2 linked regions of the Caenorhabditis elegans genome follow. The protein of the gene in region 2 purifies or fractionates together with the protein of the main gene of each other region. This does not show direct contact. Each region holds a gene or a part of one and is shown on either strand. Other genes may lie near its edges.

Region 1 (7,766 bases), on a different chromosome or scaffold from region 2:
CTTGTCGAACAACGGATCGATTTTCTGGTTTCGTTTGAATGTTGATAATTTGGTAGAATCTCCGATTTTGAAGAATGACGGTGCAAATTCAACAAGCCATTTTGGATCGATTGCGGTGACCTGGAAATTGAAAATTAGGTTTTTATTTAATTTCTTATTTAGACTTAAATAGTTTTTGGCCCTAAATGAAAGAATAAAGTCTCCATATGCCAAATATGAATTTTAAAAATGTATATAATTTCTCTAAACTTTGTATTTTTTTTTCAAATTTTGAAAATATTTCAAAAGGGAGCATAATGGCCTAGTTTCGACATTTTTGTGTTTTCCGCCTACAGTACTTTTCCGTATATAAAATTGAAATAAACTTACTTCTCTCATATATTCCTTAGTTGTCATGACGAGTTCATGATATACAACCCATTCTGGTTGTTGTTGGAAACATGCTGATGATGGATGAATATAAACATTCTGTCCATCAGTCAATGTTCGATATCCTTCCTGTGGATCACGTTTTGCAGCATTTCGGAAGAATCCAGAGCAAATAGCCTTCTGAACTCTCGATACATCCCGTCCACAACTGACCATCAGAAGTTTATGACGATCCATGATTCCGAGTAATTGCTTACGAATGTCCTGAGCTCTCTTCATACTTCTCACTTGAATGAAATTTTCGAAACACCATGGTTGTGAGAAATGATGGTTTTTCCATGAATTGTAAACCGCTAGAAGTGTCAAATGATCTCCTTCTGGTTGATGGAATTTCGCCTTCTTCTGGTCAGCATGATCCTGTTTTTCTTTAGGTCGATAGAAAATGTTTTGCACATTGAGCATTGCCACAATCGTAAGAACTTCTTCTGAGCATCCCAGATCGACAGACATGATCAACAATTTGGAAAGTGATGGTTCCAATGGAAATTCAGCCATTCGACGACCAAGTTTCGTGAGAAGACCATCTCCATCAAGTGCTGAAAGCGTGTGAAGTGTATTGAGAGCAGTAATCATTGAATCCAGAGGTGGAGCATCCATGAAATCAAAATCAATCAAATTATTGATTCCCATAGCTTTAAGCTGAAGAAGTGTTGACGCCAAATTTGTTCGCTGAATTTCTGGAACAGGTGTCGGAAGCATCTCATCACGGAATGCACGTTCTGTGTAGAGACGATAGCATTTTCCAGGTCCCGTACGTCCTGCACGTCCTGATCGTTGCTTTGCTGCGGCTTGTGAGATTGGGGTGACAACCTGAAATTTATATTGTATTTTCGTTCTTATTTATCAGAAAATTGTTTTTTAATATCTCGAAAAAAATTATCTTATTTTGAGTAGCTAATAATTTTAATTCGTCTAATTGCAAACAATATTGAATTTTATTGCATCATTTTCAGTTTCTGGTGAAAACATTTTTTTTTCACTTTTTTTTCGAATCAAAATTTATGAAAAAAGGCGAAAAATGTATGATTCACTTTTTCGAAAAAAAATTTGTTAAAAAAAGGCGAAAAAATATTTATTCCACTTTTTTTCACAAAACATTACACTCAAAATTAAATATAACTCTACAAATATTTATTCTTGAAATAATAAGAATTTTCGTTTCAAACATTTCAAAAATATAAAATTTCAGTTTTTTCCTGTTTTTGGCGAAATAAATTGTTTCGCTTCGAACAAAATTTTTTTTCTTGTTTTTGGTCTCTCTGGTAAAAATGGATTTTTTTCTTCGTTTTTTTTAAGACAAAAACCAAAAAAAAAAAGTTTTTTTTAAAAAGAAATCCGAGTTTTTTTTGTTTTTGGCAAAATATTATTTTTTCGTTTTTCGTCTTCGAAAAAACTTGTTCTCCTGGTTTTTGAACTTTCTGGTAAAAATTGATTTTTTTTTTCGTTTTTTTAGCCGCTTTTCGTGTTTTTTGAAATTTTTTTTTCGTTTTTTGTCTTGTTTTTTGGTCGAATTTTTTCGTGAAATCCCTGACGGGTGCATAAATGCTTACCAAGGAATCCATTCCACTTTTCGGATTGTAAATCTTCTGTTTCACAAATCCTGGATCAACGACATAGAAAATTCCATCAATTGTCAAAGAAGTTTCGGCAATATTCGTAGCAATAACAACTTTTCGCTTTCCGGCAGGAGCTGGATCAAAGATTCTTGTTTGCATTTCACTTGGAAGAGCTCCGTAGACAGGAAGAATAATCAGCTCCGGCACATCAGGTCCCATTGATTTCATTCGTTCATATAAAACTTCACACGATGTATCAATTTCTTCTTGTCCAGTCAAAAACACAAGAACATCACCAGGTGGCTCAGTCAAATGAATTTGCATTACAGTAATATGTGCAGCTTCAAGGTAATCTGATTCTGGTTCTCTTGTGTACAGGATCTCAACGGGGAATGTTCTTCCAGGAATTGTAAAGATCGGAGCTTCCAGGAAATACTCTGAAAATTTAACTGAATCCAAGGTGGCACTAGTGATAATCAGCTTCAGTTCCGGACGTTTTCTAGCAGCAGCTTTCAATAATCCAAACAAGACATCCGTATGAATTGTACGTTCGTGAGCCTCATCAAGCATAATCAACGAATATCCAGAAAGATCAGGATCAATAAGACATTCTCTCAGAAGCATACCATCCGTCATGTACTTGATAATAGTATCTTGACTTGTACAATCTTCGAAACGAATTGTATATCCAACATCAGTTCCCAGCTTACAACCGTACTCTTCTGCCACACGCTTTGCTACGGACATTGCTGCAACACGACGAGGCTGGGTACATCCAATTTTACCACGTCTTCCAAGTCCAGCTTCAATTGCATATTGTGTCATCTGAGTAGTCTTTCCTGATCCAGTTTCTCCAACAACGACAAGAATTTGATTATCAATCATTGCTTCCATCAGATTCTTTTTCAACGCAAAGATCGGAAGACTTTCTCTCTGCTCAACCATACTCAAATTGGTTCTTCTTCCATAAGTCGCTTTTCCACCAGCTGTCACATGTTTCAACCATTCTGGCATTTCTTTCATTTTATTATTCCGATCCTTTGACTCATCAGCACTCCACGCAGTCGACTGATTTCCAGACATAGGATCAAGAATTCGAGCATTTGAACTGAATCCTTTCTGTGTATCCATATCACGCTCTCGTTGTGCTTGAATTTTCGTTTCTTTTCGTTCTTTTGAAAGAGCACCTTGCATTAAAGCTGCTTGAGCTAATGAACCATCCGGATTTTTGACAACTTTTACAGGTTCTATTTCTGCACCGCCTTTTCCATATCCACGTAAAAAGTCAGGTTCGTCTTCGACAAGCTCGATTTCAATATCCTCGCCATCACTTTCATCTGAAAATTGAAAAATTGTTGTGCTTTAAATGATAGAAACTTTATTTTAAATATTTAATGATTTTTTTTTAAATTTAGCTTTTTTAAAAATTGTCTTTGAATTATCGGGAAAATCATTTCCTTGTAATTTTTCGCATTTTCCTGCTAAATTCGAAATTTTTCCTTTGATATATGCAACTTTTGTCATATTTTGGCTTGTCTGTTGAAACTAAAAAATCGTCTTAAAAACGATAAATTAGTGTCGATTTTTGAGGAAAAATGTCTGCGTGCGCGAATTCAAAAACAATTTAGTCATTTTCAGGAAAAATTAATTTGTTTTAATTCAAAAAATTTTACAATTTTTCTTGATAAATTATTAAATCATAAATTTTATACCATCATTTTTTTCATGTTTTTTTTTCAATCTTGCTTAATTTTTAATTTTATTTGAATTCCCGGGAAAATTATTGCCGTAATTGTAAAGTATTCGCATTTTTCAGGCTAAATTCGATATTTATTCTCCGATGCATCTTTTGTCATACTTTGGCATTTTTCAGTAAAGAAAACCAAATTTAAATTTTGTTGAAAATAAAAAATCGGCTTAAAAACGATAAATTACTGTCAATTTTTAAGGAAAAATGTCTGTAAAACATCATTTTTAGTCATTTTCAAGAGAAATTGAAATTGTTTTCAATTAAAAAAATTTTGCAGTTTTTTTTTTAAATATAAATTATTTTTAAAAAATCATATACCGTATTTCCTCTATTAGTCTTGCATGCAAGACTAATTTTCGATTGACCCGTAGGGGTGCAAGACTAATAGAGACTGCAAGACTATTAGAGGCTGCAAGACTAATTTTCGAAGACCCGATAGATTTGTTCAATTGGCCATTTATCGTCACAAATTTGACTTGAAACAGTCTAAATCATGCAAAATACATACTTTTCTATTGTTTTATCAATTATTTTAACACTTTAAAATTTAATTTAGCTATAAAATGGCGAAATTGTTGAAGTTTTCACAAAATACTGCTGGTCTGGCAAGAATAGGGGTGCAAGACTAATACCGTATGTTCTCTATTAGTCTTGCATGCAATACTAATAGAGGCTGCAAGACTAATTTTAGATTGACCCGTAGGGGTGCAAGACTAATAGAGGAAATACGGTAAGCAAAATAAAGCACCATTTGCGCGGAATTCAAAAATAATTTAGTGATTTTCAAGAGAAAATAATTTTTTTTTCAAATTTATCATTAATTACTAGATCATAAATAAAATACTCACCATCATAATTTCTTAGAACTCCCATTTCTTCATCAAAATCAGGCATATCTGTGGCTGTGAGAACTCCGGCTCCTTGCATTTGTCTTAATTCCCACCGTTCAGGTGTCGAAATTCGAACTCTCGCCTTTCCACCACCAATTGAGGTCGAAGGACCTTGTCCTACTCCACTTGCTTCAGGATTCATCCACGAGGAAGTTGATGCTGGCGGTGTCCGTGGACGAACTCCGATTGCATCCGGATTCAGGTCGGTCTCGCGTGGATTCAAATCTTCTCCACTATTCTGATCGACTTCTTTCATTGACAACGAGATTTTTCCATTTTCAATCTTATTAACTTTAACTTTGACATTTTCTCCTCTTTTCAAAACATCTGCGACGGTTTGAACTCGTTCATTTCGAATTTGGGAGATGTGAACAAGTCCTTCTTGTTTTTGACGGAAACCTTCCAGTGTGATGAAAGCTCCGAACGATTGAATACTGTTTACACGACCATCGTAGATTTTTCCGATTTCTGCAACTTCGGATTTTCTAGCACCACCATCATCTCGTCGATCACGCCGATCTCTTTGTCTGTCGTCTCCTCTTCGATCCCCACGTCCTCTGTCTCTGTCTCTGTCCCGATCCCTCCTATCTCGATCTCTTCTGTCTTCACGACTCCTACTACGTCTCCGACGATCCCTGTCACCACTACGACTTCTTCTTCGTTTTCGATCACGACTCCTTGATCGACTTCTTGAACGGTTTCGTTTTGAATCTGATTCCTTTTGAAGACGTTTCTGTAAATGGAAAATTTATTTTAACAAATTTCAAATATCAAAGATACGTACCTCACTTTCATATCGGCCTTCCATCTTTTCTAACTGAGCCATAAGATCATCTTCATTATCTTCCTTTTCTTTCGCAGTATTTGCCATCGCTAGAGCTGGAAGTCGTGCTTTAATTTCTTCTTTTGCATCAGAAATCAATGTAATTTTGTGTGAATCCTTGATATCTTCTTTTGAATCACCACCTTTCTTGTTTTTCTTTTTAACAGCAGTCATGCTTTGTACTATACGAAGTATGGTCGCAGTGAGGGAATCATCAAACTGAAATTTAGAATTAAAGAGAGGAATATCGAGACTTTTATATTTATGAGACGAATAATGTTTTTTTTAAATCTCGATATTTGATATTCATCAAAATATTTTAAAACACCTTGAATTAAAATAATTTTGAAATTTCCTTTAAAAAAATAATTTAGTCGTTAAATTTTCTCATATTTCAACATACCTGATCCCCAAGTCCCTGACTATCCAAAGCCTTTTTCAGTTTATCAAATGTTGGATTCTCTTGAGCCAAATGAATAACAAACTCAGCGACATCTTTTTCGACGACACCAAAATGGTTCTCAACTTCACTGAGGACCTTGCTCACAAGTGAGAGGTGCTCAAGCTGGTCCATCCTGAAATTTACAGATAAAAAATTTAATAAAATAATTCTTTAAAGCAGTTTTAATTCCGAAAAACTCGAACAATAGAAAATTAGAGTAAAAAAACAAATTCGAAATCTAAAATAGTGGGCGTGGTCTTTCATGCAAACTGCGGCCCGCTTTTTCGCAATTGTGCCGCACAGTGTGCAGCTTTCTTTAATTATATTTTTTCAACAATTATTTTTTATTTTATTGAAGCTGCCGGCTTTCATTTCGTTTGTAAATATGTTTCATTGTGTTTTTTTGAATTTATTTTAGTATTTCCAAAAATGGATATATAAGTTTGTGTTAATGTAAAATCGTTATTGCAAATACCCTTTGCCTTCAAAGTTAACAAAAAACAAGGTCTTTTAAAGCATGATTTTAAATTTAAAAGCTGTTCAAAAACTGCAAATTTTCTAGATTTTCTTTGAATTGGTGCTTTTGAACGTTTCATAGTGACCAATGTGTCCCCAAGCATCCGAATGTCCCGTTTTCTGCGTCTCTTCACTTCCGTATAATCTCTAACCCGACTCACTGGTAAACATGCGCCATTCCTCCTCCGAACAACGACTAGTGAAAATCGATCAAAATTGTTTTCAAATTTATTATTAATGTTTCAATTTCAGAAAACAGTTAAACCTAAAAAATGGATTTCAATCGAAGCTTCACATCGAACCTCGGGAGCGCTGGAAGTGCTAAATCACAACAGGTTAGAGAACACAATTCGATTTTTTGTCTACCAAATAAATGTTAATGTGATAAGAAAACACTAGGGAACAGTAGCCAAATCAAATCATATGGTTCTGTTATCTTTTCTCTCGAAAAAACGTTTTTTTCACACATTTTCAATTTTTCAGAGTATGTTCAAAGCACTCCGCCGGCTTCATGGACAGAACTTGGAGAGCCGAGGGCTTCATGATATGACTGAAGCATTTCAGTCATTTGTCACAAGGGCACGGTTTTTCAGTATTGGAAAATTGAGGTAATATCAACATTTTAGCTCTGGTTTTTTCTAAATTAAAATTAAAATATTTTCAGGCGAACTTGGTCCCACTCTGCCGCAGAGTTTATGAAATATCGACGACTTTTACCAATGTTACTCGCCGATGGAGATGCATTTGATGGAGGAGAAACAGACGGTAATAAATCTTAAAATTTGGAAAAAAAATCAATAATTGTTTTTTTTTTCAGATTTCGATGCATCTATCGCTTTCCAACATACTTCTCGTGATGATCGAAAAATCGTGGTTTCGAATATTTCTGCTAAAGTCACCCAATCACAGCTTCAATCCTTCTTTTCTCAATATGGAAAAGTGTGTTGTTTTAATTATCATTTAAATATAAAATTTTAAAATTAAATTTCCAGATAACCAGCTGCATTCTGCCTCGCGAAGAGAAAAAGACATCAGTGTTCGGAACACTTCCAAAGCATTCCAGAAATTGTGGAACTGCTACTATTACTTTTAAGTATAATTTAAATTTTTTTGGTTTGTTCAGGTCTTTTTAATAATACAATTTTTGCAGAAAGTCTGAGCATGCTGATCGCGCGAAAAATGCGAATCCTGAAGAGTTGAAGTTTTATGATCAAGTTATGGTTGTCTCAGCTGTAAGTTTTTGATTTGGGATTTAATTTTTAAACCAATTTATCTTGTAGTATGTATCGAAAAAACGTGGAGGTAAAGGTCTCGTGCTCAGTGATGATGTTGGAAGTCGTGAAGATACTCCATTGTCCCG
Region 2 (3,599 bases):
CTCTTCCACATCAACTTCAGGAAAACCTTTTATCCTATGTTGACGAGATCCACGCATTGGATCCATCCAACTTGTTGACTGAAATATCAAAATTTGAAATTTTAGAGAATGCTAATACAAATAACAAAATATTAAAAAGGAATAGTTACACCTTTAAAAAAGTGTCAGAATATCGACGATCATTTGATTTATCTCAAATAACAATTTTTCTGCTGAAATATTTTCGAAAAATTGCTCAAAATGGGCGGCAAGTTGGTGATTGTCGAAAAACAAGCTCGATAATTCTTCAATACGATAATCAAATTTCAGGCTATTTTGGGCATTTTTTCCAAAACTTCAGCTGAAAATAAAGATATTTTCAGATAAATCAAGCGATTGTATATATTTCGGCACATTTTGCTAATGAACTGGAACAGTAAAAAATCACCGCAAACAACGAAGAAAATATGTTAGAAGTATCATGACTAAAACATAAGTTGAGAAGACATCAATATTCGAAAATATATATACATGCATTCATTTTTTTGTGAGATTGGATTAAAAAATAGGCAAATAAAAAAAAACAGGCAATCTCCGATAATATAGTAATCTTAACGATTTTACAAGCAATATAGGTGAGTTATATGGCACAAAACAATATGAGTTAAAGGGAATTTACAAATTATTTGGAAGTTATTCGGCGCTTGGATCGACGAAGAGAAGACTGTTTTCTCACAGAAATCACAGACATCTTCGATACGTCCGGCTTTCTTGCCCATTTTCGACGACAAAGCGGGCACGATGGTTTGGACGAACTGCGATACCAAATATCGACACATCTGAAAATTATATTTATGTTAATGTCGACAAAAACTGCTACAATTACTCTTCACATCCAATAATCTGTAGACAATTGTTGCATCCAAGCGGCGAAACCGGAACCTCGAAGCACATTGTACACTCTCCGTGGGAGCCGTCTTGATTGCGTCGTCTGGGATGTCGATCTGTGATTCCGGTAGATGTGCTCGGCCCTTCAAAGTCTATGGGAACGTGCTCCTGGTCATATGTTCTCGCATCATCGCCAATAAATGATTGATCGTTAGTGTTCGTTGGTGACGAATGATTTCCCGAGTCACCGCTGGTTCCACTACTGCTACTTGAAAGGTTTTCAAACTCGATTTCAAGGATGGGAGAAACTGCTCGACCCCTTCTTCTACGAATCGGTGTAATCGGTAGATTGGTTTGAGCAGTCGCTGACATTCTGATTGAGATTCTTGCAGAACTCCGACGTCTCAAGCCCAACAATCCTGTAGAAAAAATCGTAATCTCTGGCGATGTGGGTGATGCACGCTCTTGAGAAGATGATTCTGGTTGCTGAACAGTAGGAGGTACCTCTGGCTGTGTATTGGGTGCTGCCGGGATTTGATTTGCAGGATTATGTATGCGTCGGCTAATATCTCCAAATCTCTCCTGTTCAGGGTTTGCATATCTCCGACGTCTCAAAACGGAAACCGGGCTCGCATTGGGCGATGCTTGTGGTTGCTGAACTGGCGGAGGTACTGGAACTGGCGGTGTGTTGGGCGCTGCCGGGACTTGATTTGCATCATTATTTATATGTTGGACATCGTGATCATGAATAAGTTGTGCAAAAGCTTGATCGTTCATCTGCTGCTCAAACATCTCTAACGCTCGCCTGTAAAATAATCAGGTACCGAATAGGAATACTATTCACAGTCAAACCTTTGTTGTTCCAAATCGACTTCTGAGAACGAAAAGTTCAACAACGATGAACGCCGTCGCCGAGACCTGCGTGCTGGTGATGGCATTCCGTTTGAGTCTGGAAGAGAAGAGAATAATTGCTTTCAAAATCTTAAGCTGCGCTTGAAACAGAAAGTCTAGAAAGCATTAAGAATGATTTAAATGAAAAAAAAATGACGGTTTCTCAATTGAAAATGTTTTTAGAATCTGTAAAAATGCGAAACTAAGGCGCGAGAAAAATAGAACAAAACATGAAATTTCATGAAACGAAAAGGGCAAACTTGGTAATCGCTGCGAGACCCACGACTCATCTAATGTGGTTACTGTATTCGAGAAATTTTTATTTCTTTTTCGTTTTTTTGTTGCAATTTCTGAACAAATTCGTTCTCAATAAGAATAATTCCATAGAAAATAAATTAATTATTTTTTATTAAAAAACCCCGTAAGAAAAACAAGAAAATCAAATAGATAACTGTAAAATCCTAGAACATGAACCGTTGCTTGACGCCAGGTTCGTTGGACCATTCGAACGTTTTAAATAAGAATAAAACAAAAACTGCCGCAAAAATCACAGCTTGAGATATAATTTCCAAGAAGAGAAGTGATTTTCTAGAGTTATTTACAGTCGAAAGTCTCCAGAGAACATAAGGAATAATATAATATCGCATTTCGAATAGATGAGCTGGAACCAAAACGAGTAAAGATGCGATTATAAATAGAATTTTGTGGAATATATGCACGGACGGTGTCGATGTCGTCATAAATCTTAAAGAAAACACGTAGAGAGGAGCAAGAGTTGTCCGCATTGTGGGATTTGCCAAGAATCGCCTCCAGATGTAGAATGTGAAATGCCGATTATCAGCGAGAAGATACGGGTGATCATAAGAATAGTAGTAGACAAGAACTGCCACAACTGCTTGTAGAACTAATGATTTCATGTCGGTTAGGTGTCGAAGGTGAGATAACAGATTTGGGATGATTTGAGTCCAAGTGTGAGCCGCGCAGAATGCAACCATGTAGAAAAATTGAGCCACGTGGAACTTTGGTTGGTGAGCTTTTGCATCTCCAAGGACAATTTGGAAATCATTGAAATATATAAACATCGCAAATCCAATTGCAAGTGTAATGAATGGCCATAGAGAAAATGCAGTTGAAATTATGATCTTAAGATTTTCCATTTTTGAGCGGGACTTGTCAATTCTTGAAGCAATTACAGAGAACGCGTATATCGCTGCCCAAATGATATTTGTCTGGCGTGTCAGTATTGAGATTAGGAATAAGAACGCAGATGCAATTGGGTTTCTGAAATATCACATCATTATTTTCAATAGATGCATTGATTTACCCGATCGAAAATCCCCAAATAACTGAAGTGAGTGACAACAAATCGGTATAAAAAAGAATTGAAGACGATATCAAAATTGGAAGCATTCCGACGATTGATGCAGTCAGCCATACATCTTGCTGCAAATCGGTATTTTTCAAATAAATCTTCAAAGTTGGAATTCTTACTCTAACGAACATTCTCCGAAAACGGCAAAATGCTGGTATAGCGAAAAATAGAAGAATCGAGTTAGCGTATCTTTCATTTCCACCACATAATGGCATTGAAATAACATAAAGTGCCGGTGGAGTTGTAATTAATGGATTCCAGCTGTAATTTCCTGAGCAATATGATCTAGTTTGAGCTGAAAATTAGGGAAATTGTAGACAGAATCTCGACAATTGTGTCTCACTAATGTGGAAGATCTCATCCATATACGGCTCTGGAACATAGTGGTAGACAATTGTTGTCAGCAGAACGTGAATGCAAGAAAACGAAGCACCAAGTAGAAAATCGCCTAAACTTGAGAAAATTGGTT

The links. Proteins that work in one complex are often made in the same cells at the same time.
Region 1: the proteins of T24D1.3 (region 2) and mog-5 fractionate together in Caenorhabditis elegans (co-fractionation; one large-scale study listed by BioGRID). This does not show direct contact.

Annotation. Positions count from the first base shown.
Region 1 is NC_003280.10:5,397,795-5,405,560, reverse strand, and holds the start of mog-5 (putative pre-mRNA-splicing factor ATP-dependent RNA helicase mog-5), read right to left. Parts: upstream 6,024-7,766; 5' UTR 6,023-6,023; coding exon 5,852-6,022; intron 5,668-5,851; coding exon 5,410-5,667; intron 5,359-5,409; coding exon 4,584-5,358; intron 3,323-4,583; coding exon 1,980-3,322; intron 1,240-1,979; coding exon 370-1,239; intron 121-369; coding exon 1-120. Other genes in the region: fbxl-3 (Putative RNA-binding protein EEED8.10), read left to right, coding at 6,679-6,741, 6,890-7,014, 7,071-7,171, 7,224-7,345, 7,399-7,499, 7,557-7,638, 7,687-7,766.
Region 2 is NC_003279.8:9,958,280-9,961,878, forward strand, and holds T24D1.3 (RING-type domain-containing protein), read right to left. Parts: upstream 1,817-3,599; 5' UTR 1,806-1,816; coding exon 1,720-1,805; intron 1,673-1,719; coding exon 866-1,672; intron 819-865; coding exon 662-818; 3' UTR 503-661; downstream 1-502. Other genes in the region: har-2 (RING-type domain-containing protein), read right to left, coding at 1-66; algn-10 (Dol-P-Glc:Glc(2)Man(9)GlcNAc(2)-PP-Dol alpha-1,2-glucosyltransferase), read right to left, coding at 2,220-3,039, 3,083-3,201, 3,250-3,425, 3,474-3,578.